Nothobranchius furzeri: one gene and its partners. The protein of the gene in region 1 purifies or fractionates together with the protein of each later gene. This does not show direct contact. Links are inferred from orthologs where the notes say so. Each region holds a gene or a part of one and is shown in the gene's direction. Other genes may lie near its edges.

Region 1 (3,654 bases):
AGGAAGAGAAGATGGAAGCTGTTGTGGAGTCTGCTGGGAGCGGCGGAGCAGGAACAGAGGTAGGTGTCCCGCTGCTGTGATGATCCGCCTCGTCAGTAGAGGAGGTTTGACCCGCCGCGTCTCCTCAGGCAGAGAGGAGCACGGAGGAGAAACCCCAGCAGGAGCCACAGACGCCGGTGGGGAACCAGGAGTGGCCCAGTGAGTTCCTGAGCGAAACGCCGGTGCTGTGCCAACAGAGTGGAGGGAAACCTGGAGTGACCTTCACCAGCGCCAAAGGGGAGGTGTTCTCGGTGCTGGAGTGGGCTCCAGGTGAGGTCACGGGTTCCTCACACGGGTGTGAAACCGTTAATCTACAGATCAACAAGAGCTCAGCTGTGTAAAGTTCACTTTCATCCGTTTCCTCACCAACAGACACTCACTCCTTTAAGAAAATGGAGTTTCAGCCGGCAGAGGCCAAGAAGTTTTTCAGCACAGTGAGGAAGGAGATGGCTCTGCTGGCAACGTCGCTGCCCGACGGCATCATGGTCAAGACCTTCGAGGACCGCATGGTGGGTTTTATCTGATCCGTACTGACACGCACGCACGCACGCACATTCACTCACGCACACGCACGCACGCACATTCACTCACGCACACGCACGCACGCACATTCACTCACGCACACACACACACATTCGCACACACACGCACACACACACACATTCACACACACACGCACACACACACACATTCACACGCACACGCACGCACGCACATTCACTCACGCACACGCACGCACGCACATTCACACACGCACACACACACATTCGCACACACACGCACACACACACACATTCACACGCACACACACGCATGCACATTCACACACGCACGCACGCACGCACGCACACACACACGCACGCACACTCACACGCACGCACGCACACACACACGCACGCACACACACGCACGCTCACACACACACACACACACACATTCACACACCCGCACGCACGCACACACACGCACACACATGCACACGCACGCACGCACGCATGCACGCACGCATGCACACACACACATGTGCACGCATGCACACGCACGCACGCACACACGCACACACACACGCACGCACGCACATTCACACACACACACGCACGCGCGCACGCACATTCGCACACACACACACACACACACGCACACGCATGCACACACCTGATGACGTAGATGTTTTTTTGTCCAATCACCAAAGATCTGTTTTGGTTTGCTTTAGAAGTGTTGCCATGACAACACACTTGTTTCTTCAGACTCATCAAACCAACAAAGTAGTTGGCCACAGTTAGGTTGTTTGGGCGGAACCAGGATGCAGCAGAACCTTCTGTTCATCTGGACCACATTCATAGACCAGATTAGGAAGCAGCCTGACGGTGCAGCCGTAGCTACAGATGTAGAGCTGGAGGATGACACAAATATAGTTTCTGGATCAGCACCGGCTCTGCTTCCGCTCGGCGTTAAGAGTGTGAGAAAACACTTGTGATTCTACTCGGGTAACCAGTGATCCACCAGCACCGGCATCTTTTGACCCCTAAAGAACAAGTGGGTGAGTTCTGCTCTTCCTGTGACACAGGACCTGTTTTCAGCTCTGATCAAAGGACCAACCAGAACCCCGTACGAGGACGGACTCTTCCTCTTCGACATCCAGCTGCCCAACATCTACCCGGCCGTGCCGCCGCTGTTCCGCTACCTGTCCCAGTGCAGCGGCCGCCTCAATCCCAACCTGTACGACAACGGCAAAGTCTGCGTCAGCCTGCTGGGAACCTGGATCGGAAAGGTGAGTGCTGTTGGGCCGTCCCAGCCAGTACTGGACCCAACCCAGTTCAACTCCCTGGTTCTGTCGTCCACAGGGGACTGAGAGGTGGACCAGCAAGTCCAGCCTGCTGCAAGTCCTCATCTCCATACAAGGTTAGACACACACACACACACACACGCACACACACACTCTCTCTCTTTCTCTCTTTTCTCTTTCTCTCTCTTTCTCTCTCTCTCTCTCTCTTTTTCTCTCTTTCTCTCTCTCTTTCTTTCTCTCTCTCTCTCTTTCTTTCTCTCTCTCTCTTTTCTCTTTCTCTCTCTCTCTCTTTCTCTCTCTCTCTTTTTCTCTCTTTCTCTCTCTCTTTTTCTCTCTTTCTTTCTCTCTCTCTCTCTTTCTTTCTCTCTCTCTCTTTTCTCTTTCTCTCTCTCTCTCTTTCTCTCTCTCTTTTCCTCTCTTTCTCTCTCTCTTTCTCTCTCTCTTTCTCTCTCTTTCTCTCACACACATACACCCACTCACACACACTCTCTCTTTCACTGTCACACTCACTCACTCACTCACTCTCACACACACACTCTCTCTCACGCTCACACACTCTCTCACTCTCTCTCTCTCTCTATCTCACACACACACACACACTCTCACACACTCTCTCACACACACACACACACACACACACACACACACACACACACACACACACACACACACACACAGCACTTCCTGGTTCTCCAGGTGTTTTAGGGTTTTTTCTGAGCCCGTGGTTCTGGCGGTTCCTCTGCAGGTCTGATCCTGGTCAACGAGCCGTACTACAACGAAGCCGGCTTCGACAGCGACCGGGGTCTGCAGGAGGGCTATGAGAACAGTCGCTGCTACAACGAGATGGCTCTCATCAAGATGGTCCAGTCCATGACGCAGCTCCTCCAGCATCCTGCGGAGGTCTTCAAGCAGGAGATCCGGGAGCACTTTGTGTCCAGCGGCTGGCGACTCGTGCACCGTCTGGAGGCGTGGCTGGAGCTGCACGACGCCGCTGAGCGAGGCCACTCGGCCTACTCCTCTTCCAGGAGCCACCACTTGAAAGACGAGCAGCAGCCTGCGGGCTCTGGACTGGTGGCTGTGGCCCACAGCAGTCCCAGTAAGCCCAGTGATGAGGCGGTGATGGGAGTTAGCAGTATTCTAGAGGAGGAGCTGGAGGATTCGGGGCTGAGTCCGTCCACCACTACAGCTCCTCAGGAGGAGCTGAGCCAGAACTCAGACGGTGACCTCACCCTGGGGGGTGAGGTCAAAGCTGGCTCTGTGGTCCGCACTGGGACGTCAGATTCTGGTTCCGTGTCCGCCAGCGTGGGGGGGGCGGGCTCCTCGGGGAGCCAGCCAGTGGTTCGACCAAAGAAAAGGAGGAAGAGTTACCGGAGTTTCCTCCCGGAGGGCAGCGGGTACCCGGACATCGGCTTCCCGCTCTTCCCGCTCTCCAAAGGGTTTGTGAAGAGCGTCCGCGGCGTGCTGCATCAGTACAAAGCCGCTCTGGCGGCCGCTGGCGTCCCAGAGCACACGGTGGACAAGTAAGTGCCTCCTCACCATCTTCTAACTGCTCCCTGACCTGTCCTCCTTCTCTTCTACCTTTTTCACCCGCCTCAAGTCACAGAGGAGGACCCATCAGCACTAGTCAGGGTGGGGTTCCAGTCTGGACCCCGCCCCGAGCTGCACGGTGCCCCAGCACTGCCCACACCTTTCCTCCACCTCCGTGTCTCCGCCTTTACTGCTCCTGCTGCCCTCCTCCGTAACATTCTGACTCCTCTCTCGATCAGCGCTGGACAGCAGCTCGGAAGCTTTGCTAATGTTTGTTTCTCTCCTTCAGTGATGACTCAGAC
Region 2 (3,654 bases), on another chromosome or scaffold:
CAGTCGGCAGGGCGACACCTGCTACAGGTGTGGAGGAACCGGGCACTGGGCCGTCGAGTGCCGGGGACGAGGTGACGCCGCATCAGCAGCACTCCCACAGACTTACCGGTTTTATTTACAGCAAACGGTCTTGGTGCAACACCGACATTACTAGAAAACCAGCTGATTTATGAGATAATTGTTCATGTTGGATGGATAACAGCGTGTGCACAAGATCAGTAACAAGACCTATGTTGTTTGATCTCAGTCCTCTTGTTTTGTTTTTAGCTCCACAACTTCCTGTTTTGGAGGATAAATCCGAAGAAGAAGAAGAAGAATCATTTGAACTACCAACCCTGGAGGAGGTTGCCAGGGCGACGGGAACACTACAACCTCAGCCACTGGGTACGTTTGTTTTCATCCATCCATCCCCTTCTGCTCATCCGGGGTCGGGTCGTGGGGGCAGCAGCCTAAGCAGGGAGGCCTAGACTTCCCTCCCCCCAGCCATTTGGGACAGTTCCTCCGGGAAAATCTCCAGGTGTTCCCTCCCTGACCAGCTGAGAAACGTAGTCCCCCCAGCGTGTCCTGGGTCTTTCATAAGGTCTCCTCCAGGTAGGACATGTCCAGAAAACCTCACCAACGAGGCGTCCTAACCAGATGCCCGAGCCACCTCAACTGGCCCCTCTAGATGTGGAGGAGCAGCGGCTCTACTCTGAGCCCCTCCCGGTTGACTGAGCTTCTCACCGTATCTGTAAGGGAGAACCCAGAACAGCCAAGCTTATTTCGGCCGCTTGTAAAAAAAGAAAGAAAGAAAGCGTTATTTTATATAGTGCCTTTCAAGATAAAACTCACAAGGCGCTTTATAAAAAAAATAAATTTAAATATAAAACTGATTAAAAATATATTTAAAATGACAAAAAATAAAAATTGTGATTAAAATGTAAGGAAAGGGAGAGAGAACATGAATAGGAAAGAGGTCAGTCGGAGGATCCCGGGAAATTGCCGAATGGGTAGAAAGAGCAGAATAAGGAGAAGGTGATGACGAAGGCCAGCCTGAGCAGCTGAGTTTTCAGCTGCTTTTTGTTGGAGACCACAGACCTCAAGCTCGGGGGGAGTCTGGATCCGTGATCTCATTCTTTCGGTTACTCATGACGACAGGTGAGGGTAGGAACGCAGATCGACCGGTAAACCGAGGGCTTTGCCTTCCGGCTCAACTCTCTCTTCACCACGACAGACCGGTACAACGCCCGCATCGCTGCAGACCAGTCCGCCTGTCGATCTCACGCTCCAGCTTTCCCTCACTTGTGAACAAGACCCCGAGATACTTAAACTCCTCCACGTGGGGCCGGACCTCTTTCCTGACCTGGAGAAGGCGTGTCAGGTAGCTGCACACATAAAATTCGGTGGGGCGACGGTGGCACAGGAGTTAAGTCCTCGCCCCGTAATCGGAAGGTTGCAGGTTCGAGCCCCGCTCAGTCTGTCGCTGTTGTTGTGTCCTCGGGCAAGACACTTAACCCACCTTGCCTGCTGGTGGTGGTCGGAGGGACCGGTGGCGCCAGTGCTTGGCAGCCTCGCCTCTGTCAGTGCGCCCCAGAGCAGCTGTGGCTACATCGTAGCTCATCACCACCAGTGTATGAATGAGTGAATGACTGGTTGTGTTGTAAAGCGCCTTGGTAGAGCCCTGCACTGAAGCCCTAGGGGCCGACAACTGTGTAATTACCTCGGACACGGGCCGGGCCGGGCGCCTTTATTTTTAATCAAATTCATTAAAAAAAAACTGAAACACTTGAACGCAGCAGCACCTGCCTGCTTCTCACGCACCGTTAGCTCAGTTAAGGTGTGTGTGGTTCATAAATGCGCCTATACAAACAAATTCTCAAACAGCTGATTGAAACATGTGCCCCTATTCTAAAATGCCATTTTATGTCCACTTTGATGTCAGAAACCGTTTATTCTCATGAAAACGGCAGCGTTCTATTTTTCTGTGAATAAATTCGCTCTGCAGTTAAAAAAAAATACAGCATTCATTGCTGGTTTTTTCTAACTGGGGAGCGCATTTTCAGAGCGGCAGATAAAATTTACAGACGCTTTATTAATTGGGAACGTTTATTATAATCTGCCGCTCAGAAAATGCGCTCTGCAGTTAGAAAATTAGAATGCTGCTTTTTTTTTCTAATTGCACAAGAGCGCATTTTCAGAGCAGATAAAATTTACAAACGCATCCAATTAATATGGTGTTCGTAAATTTCATCTGCCGCTGGAAAAATACGCTCTGTTAGGAAAAAAAGCTGCATTGATGCTGTTTTTCTTTCTTTTCTTTTCTTTTTTCTTCATTTCAGAATACTTCTCACAGATAATTAGAATGCGGAGCATTCTATCACGCTAAAACTTTATGAAAGGTTAAAAAAAAAAGTCGGGCTCGGGTCGGGCCAGATATTCCTGAAAACCTTTTCGGACCGGGTCGGGCTGGGGCTCCACCCCCTCGGGCCGGGCCGGACGCGGGCTCAGATTTTAGGCCCGTGCAGGGCTCTACGCCTCGGGGGGGTTCCAGCACTCTAGAAGGCGCTATACCAAATAAGGTCATTTACCATCAAATTCAAATCGCTAACACTAGCATACAAAGTCCTGGGTGGTACGGCTCCCATCCACCTGAATCCTCCTGCAAAGGCTTACGTCTCAGCCCGGCCGCTCCGGCCATGGAAGGATCGTTGGACAGCAGTGCCTACACCACCCTCAGGACAATCCCGACTCTTTTCATGTATCGTTCCACAGATGTGTGTATTAGAACAGGGGCTTCCTTGTCCACTTTTAAGAATCTCCTGAAGACCCTGCTCTTCACAGAGCATCTTCTAAACTAGCACCCTCCCAGCACCCGTCCCTCACTCTAATGCACACTCCATGTTCGCTCCCCTCTGTGATTGATTACGCTGCCGCCTAGGATTGACTGAATAGTGTTTGATGGCTTCATGATCGCCTGTGAGTCGCTTTGGACAAAAGCGTCTGCCAAATGCGTAAACATGAACGTTCTACCCTTTTCCAGTTCAAGCTTGTAGTTCACAACTCAATCAGGCATCTTTTGGTGTCCAGGTGAGACTCTGCCGGGATTTACAAGCAAACCGAGGATGTGAGGTTGGAGTCAGAGACGTATTATGTAGCTTTTCCGTATTTCTGCTAAATAACAAACAACTATTGCAGCAACGTCCTACAGTGTTGATAAGGAGCAACAGGAAGTGGACACCGGCACTCGGGATGATGTGTTGCTGAATGTGATTCGCCCCGACTACGAGCGGCCTCCTGCTCCGCCCCCCATGGAGCCACTTTATCATCTCACAGCTGACGGAAAAGTTCGGGGTAAACGCTGCATTTAAACCCGTAAAAAAAAACATAAAATATGACCTTTAACCTTTTCTGTTTGCGTTCAGGAGCACCCGATGAGGTGTTTGCTGCTTTAAGAGAGCTTGGCTATCAGTCCTTTAGACCTGGACAAGAGAAGGCCATCATGAGGATCCTGTCAGGTACAGAGTAATCTATTACATCTGCACACATCTGGATATGGCTAAGCTGGTGTGTTCTTCACCTCCAGGCTTCTCCACCCTTGTGCTGTTATCCACTGGAATGGGTAAATCGTTGTGTTACCAGCTGCCGGCGTACCTGTACGCTCAGAGATCCAAATGC
Region 3 (3,654 bases), on another chromosome or scaffold:
TACAGCCAGGTCAATCTTTCTTAACAAAATACACTCCCCAGAATCACCAAATAAATATTGTGACATTAACAAAGTGAAAACCGATACTGATCATTTCCAGTATTACATTTTGGTGCTAATATAGGCCGATAATATCTGACATCCATAATTAAAATATTCAAAGAAAGGTCTAAATAACAATTACCACGTACAGATAGTTTGTTTCTGCTTGCTTCTCTTGAACCAGAGAGAACTGACTAACTCTTTTGAACATCGCTCTTTATGACCAGAGTCTGTTATCATTGCCTCTGTGGTCCCTGAGGCACAAAAACTCTTCCTGCAAGATCAAACTTTGAGACAAGATCATGGTAGAAAATTACAGTAAAACTGACTTTGCTGCAAAAAGGGACTTTAGATCAAAACATGGAGTAAAAGTGGAGCCCGTAAAGAGCCAGAATGTGCAACATGGTTAATTTTCTTCTAAAAGGTAGCTGCTGGAGTCATTTTAGTCATTTCAGAAGCACTTGTAAGAGTCTGAGTCACTGGAGACATTTGTGGAATGAGATTGCGTGCACAGACTCTTGGACACACACACACACACACACACACACACACACACACACACACACACACACACACACACACACACACACACACACACATGCACACACACAATGAGGGGTAAGTGCCAGCTCATTAGTGTTCAGTCCTCTTCAGAGGCCCCCTAATCCAACACCCTCTCTGTTTTCTGCCTCCATTCTCCCATTTTTTCCCTCCAGAGTTACATTCGGGGCCATAAGCTTTCAAAGACATGTTTTAATCTGACTCTTTAGTCCGCCATGTTGAATTTTAAATGCAAATGCCAAGATTTTAAGTGAAATCTTTTAATAGCTATTTCACTCTTGTTGCTTAGGGATTTGATTAACTTTTCTTCAATTTTCTACTGGCTGAAAATAAACTGACTAAAATGATAGTTACTGATTATTTTAGTTTTTGTGTTTGAATTATTAACCTCCTAAATCCTGCTGTCCACTTGGGTGGACCTGTAATAATTTCTTCTTTTAACTTTGTCCTGTTATTATTACTCAGAGAAACAACTTTAATTATAGTTGTTTTACAACATTTTTTATTTAGAATATTATTATTTACATTTTATTTTATGCATTAGTTATTGGTCATTATTTACTAAAACAAGTCCTACAAACCCAGAATATGTCAAATTAAACTTACGTATGAAATAAAATGTAAGGTTTTAAAACGCTGACTCTATTCTTGCTTTATTCCAGCTGAACTAGGTGACTGTGACCCACTAGAACATAACCTAGACCTGGTGTCAGAATTTCGTTTCATCCCAGAGCAGACGGAGGAGATGGAGCTCGCCATTTATAATGCGTGGAAGGATTGCAGGTTAACATTTCACTCAATTAGTAAAACCTTAAACTTTATTCTATAGTCTTAATATTCTTGTCTAATGGTTGTATCATTACGTTTTTATGCCTCCAGTTGGTTGAATTCTTTTTTGTGTTTTACCTGTTTTTTTTTTTAATTATTATTTTTTTCTCAGAGGCCAGATGCCCGCACAAGCTGAGATTAACTACCTGAATAAAGCCAAGTGGCTAGAAATGTACGGAGTAGACATGCACATGGTGAAGGTAAACAACACCCTTCTTATTTGCATTATTCAGAATTAGAGATTTGAAGAATGACTCATTTGTATCTATTTTAAGAGTCGTCAAGTAGATTTATCCGAGTAGTTTAGTGGAATATCCATATTCTTGTTTTGTGTATATTTCAGGCCAGAGATGGTAATGAGTACAGTCTGGGTTTGACGCCCACTGGAGTTCTGGTGTTTGAAGGCCAAACAAAGATCGGGCTATTTTTCTGGTGTGTTTTGGCTACAATATAATAAACACATTCAAATAAATAATTTTAATGTCTCTAAATGACTTAAAATGTTTCTCATTTATTCCGAAGGCCCAAGATAACCCGTCTGGATTTCAAGAAGAGCAAACTGACCCTTGTGGTGGTGGAAGATGACGATCAGGTGAGCACCAGCTCACACTCAGCAAACATGCAACAAATGGTTACCCTTGTGTTATTTACTTTGGATGACGATAAGTCGAGTCTCCCAGAATAAACGAACACCATTCACTGGCTGTTTCAGTAAGAAATGGTTAATTCTTTCCCCATTTCATTTTGAATTTGTGGAACATTTATTACTTAATGGATCAAAAATGACATCAATAAAACTCAACAAACTCCACCTCGTCTGCTTTGTTCAACAGTAATCCTTTCAGTGTGTGTTCATTTAAAAAAAATTTTTTTTCAAAGCAGTTTTAGCAGTTTTTTTAAACACATGTTTGAAGGCTATCCAGGTTATAAAAAGTAACAGTTTAACTGAAAATACAATTTTATCTCCCCGCAAATTGTTTGTTGTTTTTCTGAATTACAAACGTTTAACAAGCCACCAGATGACTCTGACGCCGGATTGGCTCCAACACAAATTGTGCAACTAGCTGTGCTGCTTGGCAGGCTTCTAACCAGGCTACGAGTACTAAGCTAGTTAGTGAAGCAGCATCTGTTCTTCATTCTTTACTAATAATTCCTCTCTAAGAGGAAACGAGTTTTGCATACGTAAGTTATTCCTTTCAGTTTATGGTCGTGCTTTGGGAATAAAATGCTGCTCTATACCCACATCCATCTTCCCCAGGGCAAAGAGCAGGAGCACACCTTCGTCTTCAGGATGGACCACCCCAAAGCCTGCAAGCATCTCTGGAAGTGTGCAGTAGAACACCACACCTTCTTTAGGTTGAGAGGACCGGTTCAGAAGAACTCTGCACGGTCTGGATTCATACGCATGGGGTCACGCTTCAGATACAGGTACCTCAAATGACTTTGATAATGCAGCATGTCAGATACTACACATAGTTCCTCAGTAGCCAGCTTGTGCCACTCTGTGTGTTTAAACAATATCCAGCTGGATAAGCACGAGCGGTAACGTTGATTCAACACAGGGGTTGCTGGGTTTTGTTGTCAATAGAAGCGCGGACGGGTCCAAAGTTCCGCGGAGGTCATCAATCTGGAAGTAGCTGCTGATTTTTGATAAAATAACTTGTGTTTTGTTTTTGTGATCAGTGGAAAGACGGAGTATCAGACGACCAAGGCCAGTAAAGCGAGGCGCTCGGCCTCATTTGAGAGGAGACCCAGTCGACGCTACTCGAGAAGAACCTTACAGAACCGGGGTGATGATACACATCTTAGTCACACTCTTCATCTCAGAGGAGAAAGTCTGATATAATCAGAACCATCAAAAGTATAAAGATGGATGATAAATCTCCACCTCTTTTAATGTTAATGCAGGGTATCCGCGGGTCCTTAAAACGTCTTAAATTTCATTTTCCATATTTAAGGACTTAAAAATCCTTAAAAATGACAAATAACCATTAAATACAGTTTCCAAAGGTCTTAAATTACCAAAGACCCGATAAACAAGATTCTTTTATTACTATAAAATTTTCATGAATTTCTAGTTAGTGTTCAGCATTTTTTGTGTATGATGTTGCGTAAGCGGAACCGTACACATTTAGTTGGTTGTGAATGGGGGCTATTTTTAGATGAGCACATTAGCTGGTTAAGCTAGTGGGAGATTGCGCCATGGGGAAGTGCAAGTTTAAT

Evidence for each region.
Region 2: the proteins of ube2o (region 1) and recql4 purify together in Homo sapiens (affinity purification with mass spectrometry; 3 studies listed by BioGRID, with this or other methods). This does not show direct contact. The link is inferred for Nothobranchius furzeri from reciprocal best matches to the Homo sapiens genes UBE2O and RECQL4.
Region 3: the proteins of ube2o (region 1) and epb41l5 purify together in Homo sapiens (affinity purification with mass spectrometry; 3 studies listed by BioGRID and IntAct, counting the BioPlex papers as one, with this or other methods). This does not show direct contact. The link is inferred for Nothobranchius furzeri from reciprocal best matches to the Homo sapiens genes UBE2O and EPB41L5.

The regions. Positions count from the first base shown.
Region 1 is NC_091747.1:74,395,241-74,398,894, reverse strand, and holds part of ube2o ((E3-independent) E2 ubiquitin-conjugating enzyme), read left to right. Parts: coding exon 1-59; intron 60-128; coding exon 129-309; intron 310-411; coding exon 412-548; intron 549-1,606; coding exon 1,607-1,810; intron 1,811-1,883; coding exon 1,884-1,941; intron 1,942-2,570; coding exon 2,571-3,345; coding exon of another isoform or gene 3,346-3,349; exon of another isoform or gene 3,350-3,488; intron 3,489-3,641; coding exon 3,642-3,654. UniProt on the Homo sapiens protein: E2/E3 hybrid ubiquitin-protein ligase that displays both E2 and E3 ligase activities and mediates monoubiquitination of target proteins. Negatively regulates TRAF6-mediated NF-kappa-B activation independently of its E2 activity.
Region 2 is NC_091759.1:4,683,464-4,687,117, forward strand, and holds part of recql4 (ATP-dependent DNA helicase Q4), read left to right. Parts: coding exon 1-71; intron 72-267; coding exon 268-384; intron 385-3,174; coding exon 3,175-3,330; intron 3,331-3,401; coding exon 3,402-3,494; intron 3,495-3,562; coding exon 3,563-3,654. UniProt on the Homo sapiens protein: An ATP-dependent DNA helicase which unwinds dsDNA with a 3'-overhang in a 3'-5' direction. Does not unwind more than 18 bp of dsDNA. May modulate chromosome segregation. The N-terminal domain (residues 1-54) binds DNA Y-shaped DNA better than ss- or dsDNA.
Region 3 is NC_091754.1:14,719,302-14,722,955, reverse strand, and holds part of epb41l5 (band 4.1-like protein 5), read left to right. Parts: intron 1-1,265; coding exon 1,266-1,386; intron 1,387-1,543; coding exon 1,544-1,631; intron 1,632-1,774; coding exon 1,775-1,863; intron 1,864-1,953; coding exon 1,954-2,023; intron 2,024-2,689; coding exon 2,690-2,859; intron 2,860-3,114; coding exon 3,115-3,221; intron 3,222-3,654. UniProt on the Homo sapiens protein: Plays a role in the formation and organization of tight junctions during the establishment of polarity in epithelial cells.